2 linked regions of the Diceros bicornis minor genome follow. The protein of the gene in region 1 interacts with the protein of each later gene in a pairwise test. Links are inferred from orthologs where the notes say so. Each region holds a gene or a part of one and is shown on either strand. Other genes may lie near its edges.

Region 1 (7,227 bases):
TGTTTGGGCATATTTTCTGAGGAGAAAGCCCATTGTTTTCATGAGCTTCTCAGTGGGGACCATGACCAAAAAAAAAAAAAAAAAAAAATTAAGATTTCCTGGAAGAGGTATAGATACATGGTCAGTAAAATGCTAACATGGGGACAAATTAACAAGATTTGTTGACTTAGTCAGTTTGACAGAATCAAAGAAAGTTCCTGATTCTAGTCAACACACTCGAAAGGTCTGTGTGGGTGACAGACTCATCACTATTTTTTTAAAGCCTCAGATCCATAACCTATAGATATAAGGTGAGCATTAGTTAAAAATAGTTTAGGCAAGGGAAATTGATATCAGAGGGAGAATATTTAGAAGCAATTCATACAAATATCTGGGCTTGACTTGTTTGTAATGATTAATTTTACGTGTCAATGTGGCTAGGCCCTGGTATCCAATTTTCAGTCAGAAATTAGTCTAGATGTTGTTGAAAGTATTTTTTGGATGTGATTAACTTTTATATCAGTAGATTTTGAGTGAAGCAGATTACCCTGCATAATAGGTGGGCCTCACCCAATCAGTTGAAGGTCATAATAGAAAAGATTGAGGTTCCCCGAGGAAGGAGTTCTGCTTCTAGACTGCCTTCAGACTCAAGGTTGCAATATCAACTCTTTCGTGGATTGCTAGCCTGCCGGCATGCCCTGCAGATTTTGGACTTGCTGGCCTCCACAATCACACGAGCTAATTCCTTAAAATAAATCTCTTTTCTCTCTCTTTCTAGATACACGTTCTATTGGTTCTGTTTCTCTGGAGAACTTGACTAATACAACTCTCTATCTCTCTTGTGGAACATTGTGGATTTAAATATGCTATTTTGGATGAAGATATTTTTATTAGACCCAAGATTGCCACACTTCTGGTTTCATGGTTAATATTTTCAATTAATGCTCAAGATAAACACTCATTCCCCATGTAGATAAGCATTTGCCAGTGAGAAAAATAGGAAGACTTTTGGCATTTGAATGCTTGCTGGAATTGGGTTATGTCTGAAACCACAACCTTGGGTTGCACAGGAAGCATAAATCCTGGGCACCACCGCACACCAAATAGGTGGTGGTAGTCTGAAAAGGTCTCCTTGGAAATCTGAAATATGTGGATTCGTCCTTAGCCAATGGAAACCTTAGGCATAAGAAACACTAAGAATGGGCCACAAGGGCCAGCCTGGTGGCTTAGCGGCTGGGTGCGCGCGCTCCGCTGCTGGCGGCCCGGGGTCAGATCCCGGGCGCGCGCCGATGTGCTGCTTCTCTGGCCATGCTGGGGCCGCGTCCCACATACAGCAACTGGAAGGATGTGCAGCTATGACAGACAACTATCTACTGGAGCTTTGGGGGAAAAATAAATAAATAAATAAAATTATAAAAAAAAGAAAAAGAATGGGCCACAAAAGTGTTCCTTCCTTTTGTGTATTGGCTCTCTCAGTTCTACTTCTGCTTACTAAATGGACCACTGATATTTACTTTGCTTTAAGATTGTTTGCTATTGTTTTGCAAACATCATTAACAGCATTTGAGGAACTTTGTTTTAAAGAAAAAAGTTTACTTACAGCCCCACTATCCTAGAAACTTACTTTGTTGAGCTTTTCAAGGACACAGGCCAAAGGAAAGGCCTGTCAAAGGACCTTGGCATCAAAGGCAGAGTCCTCTGGAGAAGGGGAAACCGCACAGAAACGACAGGAGAGCAATTGTCATTTCTGAAATGTAATTTACAAGTTGTCATTCTCACAGCGGCCCGGTGGTACTGAAAGGGCATTCACACCATTTGGAAACCACTGTGGCTCTTTGGTTTTTCAGAACAGCTGTCTCAGTGAACTCTCCCCAGGCTCAACTATCTCCTGTCCATTTCCCTTTTTGTCTGTTAAAGCCCCAGCATATGAGGATTTGGCAGCCAGAACAAGGCTGAACGCGACTGACACAGGAAACAGGCCCGTGGCTGGACAGATGCCCAAATGCAGCTGAATGGGGTCACACACCCGTGCTAAGGCAGGGAAACAGCTGTCACTCAAAGCACTGGGCTTAATATCACCAGCTTGCTTGTTTCCTTATTCTAAGTGTCTTAATGGACTTAGGGAGGTAACACTACTGTTGGGACACAGTACAACTCAGTCTTAAGCTTGTAGTTTGAGTGGCGCTTTAGGAAGAGGGAGAAGTGGGAAGTAAACATTTATTTACTGCATCCCACACTGTGCTGGGCACCTTATTTATATATACTATGCTGCAAAGGAGAGTGAGTGATTAAAGATCACTGCCTGGGTGTGAGCCACACTAGCTGTGCGGCCTTGCGCACGTCACTTAACTCTTCATGCCTCATTTTCCTTCCGTAACAATAACGCAATAATAGTACCCACGCCATAGAGTTACTCTGAGGATTAAATTAATTATTATGTGTAAAGCACTTAGAACAGTGCCAGGAACATAGTAAGCACTGTATGCGTCTTTGCCATTATTATCTTTACTAGTTAATTTTAACAGAGCCCTGCTTATCCTTTTATGATGGAAGAAACTGAGGTTCATGGCGATTAAGTCAATTACCGGAGATGGCAGAGCCTGAAACCACACTCAGATTTATCTGACGGCAGTGTTTTCTTCTTAGAACACGATCGGGCCTGCTCAATGCTATCGAATTCCCTCTCCTGCTTGCCAGCTTAGGGTTCAGTTTATTAGACCTTCTTTGTACTGACGAGGGTGAAATCCTATACGACTGAGGCGCTGTCCTTAATCCTCCATTCCTCCCATCCCTGGCGAAAGGCCAGGTCAGCATGAGGAGGGGTCAGTGGGAGGGGAAACTTCCCTCCTACATTCTTCTGTGGGCCTAATCGGCCCTTGTGATGTTGCCTACACTTGCTCTTTCAGAAAGCAGAGGATAACTCTAACTAACTAAAAGAAATACTCTGATGAGCAGGACGCTTATCACACTGCTTGATTTAGGGGAGCAGTTGGCCTCTTAGGGCAGTGCTGTCCAAAAGAAATAAAACATCAGCCATATATGTAATTAAAATTTTTCTAATAACTATATTAAAAAAGTAAAAAACAAAGGCGAAATTAATTTTAATCGTATTTAACCTAATATATCCAAAATGTTACCATTTCAATCTGGAAACAGTATAAAAATTATTGAGATATTTATATACTTTTTTTGTACACAAACCCATTGTGTATTTTACACATACAGCTCTGGAGCTATATACCATGCGATATAGCAGGTACAGTCCGACACAAGAATTTGTGTCCTCCACGGGCCTTTTTCATTTAGCGACTTTATGTGCCTAAAACTGTCCCCGGCTTCCCCTTTCTTCCTCCACGGGCAGATACTCTGATGGTAAAAAATGGCTGAGGCAGTAAAGAAGTCGCTTTTTCCCCCCTAGTCATCCCTGACTAGCGCAGTTTTTGAGGGCAGTTGAGATTTCTTGTGTGGTCACAGAGGGCTTATGCCAATCGGCACGCTTTGTACTTCTCACCATGCGGGGTCAGGCGTGATGATGGGGGGTATTTCAGGTTCTAGAAGGATTGAGGCCTCTCTCGGACCCTGACAAAGTCCTTTCCAGTGTCTTGTGCTCATAGGGACCGTGTGGCCTCCTTTGACGACAGCACCTCCGGAGGGGAGAGCAGCTCGATCTGCCAAGCAGACACTTGGCGGGGCTCAGATTTCCTGGACCGGATGGCGGGCCCGAGCCCGGAGGCCCGCGCGGCGCTGGCCGGGCACAGGATGAGCGGCGGGGCGTGCGCATCCCGGGCATCCGCCCGGGCTCGGCCCGCGGCGCAGCTGCCGCAGATCCGCCGGGGCCGCCGCCTCCTCCGCGGACTGGAAAAGGCAGGAACCTTCCCGCCCCGGCCCCGCGTCCTCCCCCGGCAGGGGCCAGGGGGCGGAGTCGCCCACCTGTCATCCGAGACGCCCCACGTGGGTCGGCCCGGGGGGGGGGGGGTGGGAGTTGAAGGGAGGGAGAAAAGGCAGAGGCGGCGAGGGAGGCAGGAGAGTGGGGAGGAGAGGAGCAGAGGAGAGAGAACTCCCGATAGCCGCGCAGAGAGCTAGCGAAGAGCAGAGGAAGAATAAAGGGGACCCGAGGCATCCAGAGAGGAACAGGTAAGGAGGGGCAGGTGAACCGAAGGAGGGAAGCACCGGGCTAGAGAGAATGGGGAAAGGAAAAGACGGGAGTGAGGAAGGGGCTGCGGATAAGAGACCAGGTAAGACAGAAACGAGCAGAAGGAGAAAGATTTCAGGATGAAGAGGGGCGGGGGAAGACCTGGGGCCGCGGCGCCTTTAAGGTTGCCAAGGCGACGGCTCTGGCCAGAGCGAGGCGCATTGACGTCGGCAGCCGAGCGCTGATTGGCTGCGGCCAGGTCGTTTCCGGTGGAGCCGCGGCGGAGCCGCTATCGCAGAGTGGACCCTGGCTGGGAGGGAATCGCTGGGAGACCTCAGCCAGCTGCAGCCTCGCACCCTCAGCCCCGTGCCCGCCGCCGCCCGTCCCCAGGTGAGTGGGGTGTGTCGAGGGCCCCGGCGCGGCGAGCTTCGCCGCCCCGCCGCCCGTTTGGGGGCGCTGGACCGATCCAAGATGGCGTCACGGGGAGCGACCTGCAGGGGAACGGCCGCACCCCCTGCCCCTCCCCGGCCCCGGCGGGCGCCTCCCCGCAGGCCTCACGACCCGGGCCGCCGGCCCCGAGTCTGCACCTCCGAGGGCCCCCGGGCCGCCGGGGCGTCTGCTCCGGTGCGGGGTTTCCCCGCCGCCCCGCCCCCTACTCCTCTCCGGCGCGCTACCCCCACTCCGCGCCCCCAGGCCCCCGGCCTCTGCGGCCTTCCCGAGCCCTCCGCGGCCATCGCGCCCCCGCCTCCTCCGCCCCCGCGCGCCGCGGCCTCTTCGCTCGCCCTCCCCCCTTTCCTGAAGGACGACAGCTCGATTTTACCGGAATCCGCCATCGTTTCCCGCAGCGTTTGTGGGTGATCTCGAGACCTAGCCGTTCTTGTTTTCCTCTCTGCTGTCTCCTGCTTGTCATGCCTAGCAGTCGCTTTCCCTCTCTTTCCCGAGATTACTGCCCCCCCCCACCCCCCAGGATGATCTTAGGCTGGCTCAAAAATTTCCTTTTGTCGTCTTTCACCTCCCTTCCTTTCCTGATTTTTTTTCTCTGAGGGGTCCTCGCCGCCGCTGTGGTCTTCCGACTAGAGTAGGATGAAGGATCGGCCTCCCGTCTTCTTTTTGTGGCCATGACGGTGGCATAAGTGAAGTGAAGGGCACTTTTCTGTCCTTCCTCTCGAAAATACGCGATACCTGTTAACCCGTCCAGCTCAGTGCAGGTGTGATGCCAGACGACTTAACTACTTGAGAGATTCCCAAGAGATCGGTCTTTTCAGCAGAGCACAGAAAGCTAACACTTCCTTAAGATGACCGCAAGGAAGTGTTCCTGGCTGGTCTGGGGGGCTGCGGTCTGAATCAGCAAGTTTCTCACTGTTTTAAGTATTTCCTCGCGTGTAATCCTTTTCAAACTGAATTTTATCACAACTGAATTTCCAAAAGAAGGAATCTGAGTATTTTCTTATGAGTAGAGACAATGCGGTGGAAGTGTTAAAGTAGTCAAGTAATTTTTGGGCGGAGAAGCTCAATTGTTGGGCTCTTAAAACTAAGTACAAGTACAGAGTTAATCTAGGTATGTTTGATTAAAAATATTAAGACCATGAAATTTCAGTATTTGGTGGTTTATATAGTGACTGCGTTAATCTTGGGACATTTTTGTTAATGTGCTACCTTATTATCAGCGTCATCTTTTTGGTCTTTTTAATACATTATTTCAGACAAAAACCAATTTCATCTCTGAGACCCAATTCTCTCATTTCTATCAGTCAGAGACCTGATTTTTGAATGATTTCTCTGATCAGTTGAATACATGTATTGATATTTCTGAAATATGTCTGAATGTTTTGAAGCACAAAGGATCTGATTTATCATTGTTCTTGAGGGCCTTCAGTGTTATTTGCTATACAGAAAATTCTACTGAAGTGGATTCTGAGTTTATATGATTCACTTGGAAAAGTGGCTGGTATAAATCTGTCCTAAAGTTAATGACCCTTTTTTTTTTTTTTGGAGTGTCTATTTCTGATGTAGCAGCATGATTCTTTTTCCATGCCTCTAATTTATGTGCCTGTCAGGGAGCTACACACTTTCTCATGGTCTGTTAATTAGTCTACTCGTTATTGACCTTTATCATGAAAGTTGTCAAAACAAAATGACTAACAGTGTAGCACTTGAGCTCTTTACTCTGGTATTTCTTTCTCTCTCTTTTTAAATTTATAGTTTTACCTCAGTGGTTTTGTGTACATTATATTTGGAAAAGTCCGATTAGTATTGAATTCAGTTGCAGAGTGGAGGGCACCTGGATTTTATCTTCTCATCTTATTGCTTAGTACAGTAATTAGGAGTTGGAAGGAAAACAGTTTATGACTCTGTTGTTAAATTACTAAACTTTAAATTCCAGGGTAAGGTTAGCTGCTCATTATTATGTATCTGTTTACTTCACATCAAGGTAGTTGGAACCCTGTAAAATTCATTAAATGCAATTTATCTATTGCATCTTCACGTAAGTTTAAAATTTAACGTGTTTTGACATTTTCCTGTCCAAATCTTTTATCGTTTACTTAGCAAGGTTTTTTTGGTCTGTTTTATTTTTTTTCTATTAAGGATCTTCCCTCCTACCAGTGGGTGGTGAGTGTGTTATCATTTAGGGCTGGAATGTAGTAAAAGAGTGTGGAATAAAAGGTTGCTTTTAAAATTCATCTGAGGTTCCTTATGTGTTTTTAAAATTTTTGATTATACTAGTAGTTGGCTAATCAGATCCTCTGCTCCAGTGATTTCTTGGGAGACATTAGAACACTCCCCTGGGGTAGGCGTTACGTATAGGGAATGTCAGATGTTCTTCCTTGTGCTTACTTGCTGTCACTTAGAGCTAACTTGTGTGCCCTTGTAATTCTCTGTCCTGTTTACCATTTACACACTTCCCACGTCACCATGATTTCTTTTGCAGGGGGAGGACTGAATGAAATTCCCTCAAGGGACTGACTCCTCAGCAGCCCGGCTCTGCAGGGGATAGTGGCTCATACTTCCTCCCAGGAGCTGAGGTTATTGCCTCTCCCTGTTGCTGCCTGCAGAGCCTAGATCCTGCAGCAGGAACTAAATGAAACACTTCTTTGGAAGAATGCTATTTCTCTACA
Region 2 (8,206 bases), about 20 Mb from region 1:
TACGCCAGAAAGGGATGTGGAAGAAACAGAACTTGCCTTAAGAAGCAAGGTTTCGGATTAAAATACATCCCACGTAAATTAGAAATTCAAACAGTATGAGATTATTCCAGTGGGACAAGAGGCCCACAGGACCCACCACCTCCCCAGAGCAGAGGAACACTCCTCAGAATGGCCAGCTGAAAGTATTAACACAAAACTGTCAACTGCCCCACAACAGCACAGACCAACCTGCACTCACAGGGAAGATTAGGAAGGAGCGGCCTGGGTAGAATGGGCTGGCAGGCAGCAGCTCGTCAAGGACATGGGGTGCACAGTCCCCCAGGCCCTGAAACGTGTGTTCCATCGGGTCATGTTGTTGCAGGCTAGAGCCAGGAGGCTGGCTGGCAAAGTGTGGGGAAACCACTTTGTTTTCCTTTTCCTTTCAACCAAGTTTCCAGGTCAGAGGCTGGAGGGGAGGGGAACTTCTAATAAAATTCAAATCACGCTAGTGATTCAAGAGAAAATGTTAGTCTCAGAATTCTTTAGGAGGAAAAGCAACAATGCTTGAGCACTATCATGTACCAGGCCTAGCGCCAAGTCTCACAAACACTATATTATCTCAATATGTCTTTGGGATGAGGAGAGAGAACACCGCAAAGGGTAAAATTCACCTTCACCACAAACGATGGCTATGAGTTGGCTGGGTCCAAAGCCAAGAATAATGTGGGTTACCAGGTAGAGCAAAACAAATTGCTTTAAAATATTGATGCTCAGCAACCTTACACTGGAGACACATCCACTTGGCACCTGAGCAGGCCACTTACATCAGACACCTTCACTGTCATGCTGCAGTGGCCAGGTGTGAATGTATTTCCTAGAAACAGCTGGGAGGAGGAACTGACATTCATACAAAGGGCTCCAGCTAGACACAAATCCATTCACAGGCTTGGATAAGATCAGTTACCTGCAAATTCTGGGCCATCACCTAACAATACACGTGACAATACAGCCTATTTCACCCAGGTAGGCACTGAAACTTCTGTGATTTGCATACCTGTAGGATCTAGAGGACCTCCCCTAGCCCTGGGCCATACTTCATCTGAGAATATACCCAGCAATTATTACCCAGAACCCACAAAACTAGTGAAGTGGTGAAAGAGCAAAGGTTCAACACAAGTCCAAAAGCTCCCAAAACAAAACTTAACTTGTTTCCAGTGCTCAGAAAGTCTTAAATAATCAGCAGGTGAACCACTTGAGAGCCAAGAACAGAGGAATCTGATAAATGTTCAAATGCTGCTGCTCTCTCTTCATTTCAAAGATGCTCTGTACCTTTAAGAGCAAAAGAGATGGATGTTGCTTACTAAGATTCCAAGCTTTGTTTTCTAAATAGTTAAAAAAAAAAAAAAAACCACTAATTTGGGGAAGACTTAGTTACAAGAGCACAATAAGGTGTTCCTTCATCAGTAATTGTGAGCAACCAACAGATTATGATGCACCACGGGGCCAGAAGCCCATAGCTCCCTGCAGGAAATAAATTTAAACACCAAGAAGCCCGCTGCAGCCTTACTTCAGTAAGGGCAAGATGGCTTGTTTAACCTAATTGCCGTGCCCAGACACCCTACCTGGCTTGAGAGGCCTCCCCTCACACCTGGAGCGAAGTCCACCGGCTTTGTGTTAGCGGCGGCCGGGGAGCAGGAAAGCGCCCGCCAACCTGGGCGTCTCCGCCGGAGAGGAAGATCGCGAAATACCCGGCACTTCCAAGCTGTCTCGGGTCAGGTCGGCACCGCCCACCACCAACAGCTCCTTTCCTTCCTTAAGCCTCTCTTGGAAGGGAAACGGGAGGAACCGTATGCCAGGGCACAAAATAGTTGAACTGGCGAAAGCCCGCCCCCGAAGCGTCCAGACTACAGCCTCTCCAAGCATAATTTTGACCCTAACCCCGAAACTAGCGTGGTCCCTCCAGACCGCCGGCCGGCTGGGGGCGGTGTGCAGGCGGAGCGCGACATGTGACCCACGCGCCCCGGGGCATGAAGTCAGCGGGCGCACCGGGCAGGACGGCCTCGCCTCTCCGGACACCCTTTAAGGGGCTGCAAATGCTTATCCTCTCGAGACACCAAGGCTTTGACCTCGGGACCCTAACTAGGTTCAAGCGGTCCCTCTGCCCAAAACAGGGTTCCAATCACAACCGGTCTCCTAGCCTATCCTCCCGGGTCCGCAAACCAAGCCCTTTCTCCTGGTTCGCCGCACTGAACTCCCAGGGGCTGAGCTACCTGCTCGGGTGGGCAACCGCCAGGCCTAGGTGGGGAGCAAGCCAGGGCGAGCTAAAGGGGCCCAGAAGTCGGGGAGGTTCCTGAAGTGACCAATTCAACTCCAACCCCTCAGGACGGGGAAACGAGTGCCCGCGGGCCGTAGGGGACCTCCTCGCCCTTCTGAGCACCAGGCCCTGCCCAGAGCCCGCCCCCCCGCCGCCGCTCCCGGCTAAGACTGGGTACACACGACCTTTGAAAAGTAAACGCGTGTGGGGTTGGGCGACCTTGGGTGGGACGCGCTCAGGTCTGTCTCACCGGAGGGCGTGCGCGCTCCGGGAAAGTTAAGCCGAAGACCGGTCCCCGGGGCGTCGCGTCCTCGCCCCTCGCCCCCGAGGATGATGACGCGCGTGGGGGGCAGAGCGCGGCTGCAGAGCGCGCCCCCCAGCCACGCACACGCGACCTGTCAGCAGGAGCCCGCGGGCAGACAACCCTGGCAGGGGAGGACGAGGGGGCGCGCAGAACGACGAAAGGGAAAGAAGGGCCTGCTTGACAGCAGGAGACGGGCCGGAGACCCTCTGCACGCGCTCGGCGTCCGGAGCCTTCGGTCCCCGGGACACCTGGAGCGCGCGTCGCACCCCGCACCTGCAGACTCGGCTCCCCATCACCCCGACGGCGTCGCCCTCAGGGCCCCGGCAGGTGGTCCCGAGGCGGCCCCAACTTACCAGCTCCTCGGCGACCGCCGGGATGCAGAGTCCTGGCGCCGCCGCCCCCCGCCTCCCGCCTCGGCCCCGCGGCCCGGCCCCGCAGAGCTGCGCCGCGGCCGCTCCCCCACGTGCTCGCCCAGGCCGGTGGAACACAGAGACATTAAATACTGAGGACGCGCAGCGACGTGCCCGCGGCGCGACGCAAGGCCCCGCCCCCCGCCCTCGCGCCCCCGCGCCCGCTCGGCTCACCTGCGCGTGCGCGCCGCCGGCCGTTCCCGCCCAGGCCTCTCCCAGCTGCGCCAGAGGGGGCGCGGTCAGGAGGGCTCAGCCAACATCCCGCCGCCGCCGCCCACAGTCGGGTCCTGCTCGTGCTCTCGCGAGATGAGCTGTAATCTCGGCGGAGCTCGGGAGAGGGGCCTGGCCGGAGCTTTCAGAACCCCGGGAACCTCGAAGTTCTGCCCCGCCCGGTCCCAGCGCGGGTTCTCCCGCCTCGGCTCTGGGCGATCTCGAGCGGTCAGTTAGACCATCTGCCTGCCTCGTCATGGAGAGCCCCCTGAAAAAGGCCAAGGGGCCGGTGAGGGGCAGGGCTCCCTTTGCTTCCCTGCAACTGTCATTACATTGTATGCATAATCAGGTGGCCATTAATAATTGCTCAATAATAACCGCGTAATGGGAGTACTTGCCACCACTTAAATGCAAGGTGCTTGCCCATTTTCACACCTTGGTGATGTCGAAGCGAAACACTTTCCTCTAAGTGGGTTTGGCTTTTGGAATAATTCCCATGAAGAAATAATCACCATGAGTCACTGACTCCGCTAGGAAACTTGGGAAAATAAATTGCCCCCAGACAAGTGGACAGGGTGGGGTTCCCGCTGGCCAGGCCTGCTCTCAGTCTTAAGGCATAGGGACTTTAAGTGAACATTTGTTTGGGCACAATATAGAAAAGAGATCATGCTAAGAACAAACCATTACTTGGGAAAATGCTTCATCTTCATTGGTGATCAAATGCAAATTTAAATGGCAGTGAGATAGCATTTACCTATTGAGTTTTAAGTATAAATTCCTATAGTATATATGAATCCCGATTGCACGGTGTGATTAATGCCATGAAGGAAACAAATAGGAAGCTGAAATAGAAAAGAAATAACAAGAAGAGATCTATTTTAGGTGGTGTAGTTGGAAAAGGACTAAGGTGAAATTTAAACTGAAGCCTACTAGGTGAGAAGGAGCTGGCCTTGCAAATTGTATTTGGGAGTAGGAGTTGGAGAGTATGCCCAGCAGAGGCAACAACACAGGCAAAACAGCTTCTTGTGAACTGGAAGATCAGGGTGGATGGAATCTCGGGGGTGGGTGTGTGTGTGGGGTGGGGGGACAGTGCTGGAAAAGAAGGTTGGAGACCTAGAGGGAGGAGGTTTTATTTTTTGAGGGAACTGCGCTGCCTTACAAACCATAGTAAAGCTTGAATTGTATTCTACTCTGCTCAGCCCCAAAGCCAGGCATGCTTCTGTCTCAGGGCCTTTGCACTTGCTATTCCCTCCAACTGGAATATTCTGCAGAGCTCACTCCCTTACCTCTTTCAAGTCCTTTGCTCAAAGGTCACCTACTCAGTTTCAGTGAAGCCTTCCCTGGACTCCCTATTTAAAATTGTAACCACACACACACACACACACTTCCCTGTTCCTTATCCCTTCTTTATTTTTCTTCATAGTACTTACCACTATCTACATACTATATACCTCATTTGTTCATGAGAGGACACATTATTGAGGGCATGGCACATGGAGGACACTCAGTAAAAATGGCTTCAGTGAATGAATGGGAAGCCATTAAAGAGAGTTAAGTAGAGAGTGACACAACATAATTTCTGTTTTTAAAAGGGAGCTGTAGCTGCCGTGGAAAGAATGGATTAGAGGAAGACCAGCACAGAAGTGGGGAGACGAGTTGGGAGGCTGATGCAGTGGTCCAGGTGAGAAATGATGCTGGCCTGAGCTAAGAGTCATGGCAGTGGGTATGAAGAGACTGCTTGGGACTCAAGATATATTTTGGAAGTAGTAGCAACAAGACTCACTCATGTTATTGGGGGTAAGGAAAAGGGGACAATGAATGATGCTTCCTCTGGCTTGAGTTACTGTGTGAAATGGGGTACAATTTATTGAGATGGGGCAAGATGGGGGCAGAGAATCCATAGTTTCATTTCGGACCCCTTACGTTTGTACTGTGTTTGTGACATCTAAATGCAAACAGTAATTAAGTTGGATGTGCAAGCCTGGAGCTCAGAGGAGTGGTCTGGGTGGGAAATACAAATATGTATTGAAAATCACGTACAAAGCAGATATTTTAAAGAAGGACAATGCCCTGGTGATGGTGGAGGTGGGAAGTGCCTACAGGGAAGAAATTGAAAAAATGATGTCTAGTGGGGTAAGTCCTGGAAGCATTGGTAGGAAAAAATGAGGAGAGGGAGAGAGTAGAAGAAAGAGGAGATGAGGCTCTGAATGTGGTGATGAGAGGGAGGGACAGAAAGCAGGGGGCAAATGCGATCAATATGTCAGTCATATCCTGTGCTTGGAGACAGGGGCAGAGCCTGCCAGGATGGAAGGAATGAGGAAGAATAAAGGAAAGGGGTAACCGGAATACAAGGGAAAGTACAAGACAGGAGTCAAAGGGGAGAGCACAGGATGAACTGAAACCACAACCAGAGATCAACCCAGCAGCTGTGGCTGAGGAGGTGGCCACAGGTCAGGGCAGTTCAGAGGTCACGGGGTGGCCCTAGTATAAGATTAGAAGGTGCTATGAGAAGGGAGGTGAGGGTGGAAGGTGATCCTAAGAACTTGGCCATGAGGAAAATAGGACTACATTGTTAGACTTAAACTTGAACATCAGCTCAAAATGGGCAAAGTGTCTGCTGAAGGCAAAGATTTTAAGATAGGATGCATAAAACAGCTTCAAGGAAATCCACGAACCCCCTGAAATTGCTCACATGGTTTTATAAGTATGATGTTTTTCTGCAGAAATAGTTATGGATAACTTCTATCAGATTCTGTGATCCTGACATAAAAAAAAAAAAAAAGAATAAGGATCTGGTAAATAGAGCAAGAGAGAAGGTAATGCTGTATCTAAAAAAAAAGATTATGTCAGTCAGAAGGAAGGGATGAATAATAAAGCACTAAAAGGAGACAAAAAAGAAGTGGGCAGTGCCCACTTAAGGGAGGAGGTCCCCAACACAAGCTAATGTAGAAGCTGCCTTCTCTGATAAGTGGAAACGGTCTGATCAGAAGCCGATGCAATGATTCATTGAAAGTCTATAACGCACACCACCCTTCATTCTGACTCCATCCTCACCAGGCAACCTTCTGGTATAATTCTGCTCAAGGAGAGAAGTCGTGGTTGGACATGTGGAAGGCACTGGTCCGCCTGAGAGGTAGATTTTTGTCATTGTAAATTACGTAAGTGGCCCTCTTGTTTTCTACATCTGGTGTGGTTTGTGAATGCTTTTTGTTTGACTCAGCTTTCAGTTCTGGGACTCGAACATGGTGAAGTTTCTGAGCCTGTCATAAAGCTGAGTGAGGGCTTGATGCCGGGCCTTAGGGAATTTCATCAAAACATCATCTTGTGAGGCTCTTTTATAAAGTCAGCCAGTTGTTTTCTCTTGATAGCCCCTCCAACTTAAGGGGGCACATAGTTGAGAAATGTCCTGCCTTTCCTACTGGAAGCATCTACAGAAGGAACTTTTTCAGTGCAAACAAATATGAACTGTCTCCTTTATGGGCAATACAGTGAAGGAGTGTCTTTACTCCTTCAGTTTAACAGAATAAACAAGTGGAACCCAACCCCTCCCACTCTCCACCCCACTCGCTATTCCCTTAAACTGAAGAAGCACTTGGTTATGGCCTGGGGCCATGTGTGTTTGCAGGGAAGAATAAATGATCTGCTCCTAGACGAGTCAATGGAAAGAGATGGGGAATAACAATATTAATGGCCAATACTTAATGAGCACTTAATGCCCAGCACTGTGCAAAGTACTTTATCCTAATCCTCCACCAACCTCAAAAACTAGATACTCTTGTTATACTGTATACATTTTACATTCCCTTTAGTCACACAGCTGCAGAGGCAAGGTTTTAACGCAAGCAATCTGACTTGGAGCCCATGGATTAACCAACTCACTAACTGCTGCTGTAGGCAGACCTAAAGATCCTAGGAGCAGATTTATACAGGGGCATGTCTGCTATAGATTGAATTGTGTCCCCCCCAAAAAGTTATGTTGAAGTCCTAATCCCCAGTACCTCAGAATGGGACCTTATTTGGAAATGGGGCAGATGTAATTTGTTGAGGTCATAGTGGAGTAGATTGGGCCCCTAATGCAGTACGGCTGGTGTGCTTATAAGAAGATGGCCACGTGAAGACAGAGATACACAGGGAGAACACCGTGTGACAACAGAGGATTGGATTTATGCATCTGCAAGCCAAGGAAAGTCCAAGATTGCCAGCAAACCACCAGAAGTGAGGAAGAGGCTGGGAAGGATTCCTCTACTGGTTTCAGAGGGAGCTCAGTCCTATTGACAACTTGATTTTGGACTTCTTTCCTCCAGAACCATGAGACAATAAATCTACTATTTTAAGCCACCCAGTTTTTGGTACTTTGTTACAGCAGTCCTAGGAAACTGACACAGTGCCCTTCTTTCCTGAACCCATGGATGCCAGGTAGAAAAAGGGAATGTGAAGTCATTCAGCAGGTGATAAAAGGGGGCTGTCCCCTTCCTCCCCTCCAGACCCAATGTGCCCTGGCTTCACAGGGCAGAGGCCCCATCCAAGTGGCTATGATGAAGGGGCCTCGAATAGACACTACCCAGGCTCTGGCACCAACACCACCACATACTTTCTGGGACTTTTCTAGCCATGTAGTTAAGTTCTTAATTCTGGTTCTGTTCAGTGGTGGCTGGCAGGGGTATGGCTGGCCATTTCCCAGAGTACCCTCCAGTTTTCCCAGCTTCTTCGAATGGTGGTTCAGTTTGGAAATTGAGCCTAAGAAACTCTGCAAACTACTTCAGGCAGGGTGAAGTTCTACCCAAAACCAGTTTAGGCCTTCAACTACAGCCATGCTCGTGCATGTAAAGAAGCAATTAAATCATCAGAGACTGTTACCTACCTCATTTTATTCCATGGGAGGTGTCTCTTTCTGGCCCAATTGTTAGATCCTCCCAGGAGGCCACCTGACCATGCTGGGCACCTGTGTATGGATGTTTGAATTGCTTGGGCTCTGTAAGAAAACTGTTG

Evidence for each region.
Region 2: the proteins of PRKAR1A (region 1) and AKAP1 interact in a two-hybrid assay, tested with the Homo sapiens proteins (2 studies listed by BioGRID and IntAct). The link is inferred for Diceros bicornis minor from reciprocal best matches to the Homo sapiens genes PRKAR1A and AKAP1.

Annotation. Positions count from the first base shown.
Region 1 is NC_080757.1:50,074,577-50,081,803, forward strand, and holds the start of PRKAR1A (cAMP-dependent protein kinase type I-alpha regulatory subunit), read left to right. Parts: upstream 1-4,034; 5' UTR 4,035-4,113; intron 4,114-4,392; exon of another isoform or gene 4,393-4,501; intron 4,502-4,942; exon of another isoform or gene 4,943-4,961; intron 4,962-7,227. UniProt on the Homo sapiens protein: Regulatory subunit of the cAMP-dependent protein kinases involved in cAMP signaling in cells.
Region 2 is NC_080757.1:30,451,873-30,460,078, forward strand, and holds the start of AKAP1 (A-kinase anchor protein 1, mitochondrial), read right to left. Parts: upstream 3,024-8,206; 5' UTR 2,951-3,023; intron 2,335-2,950; exon of another isoform or gene 1,602-2,334; intron 1,309-1,601; exon of another isoform or gene 1,185-1,308; intron 1-1,184.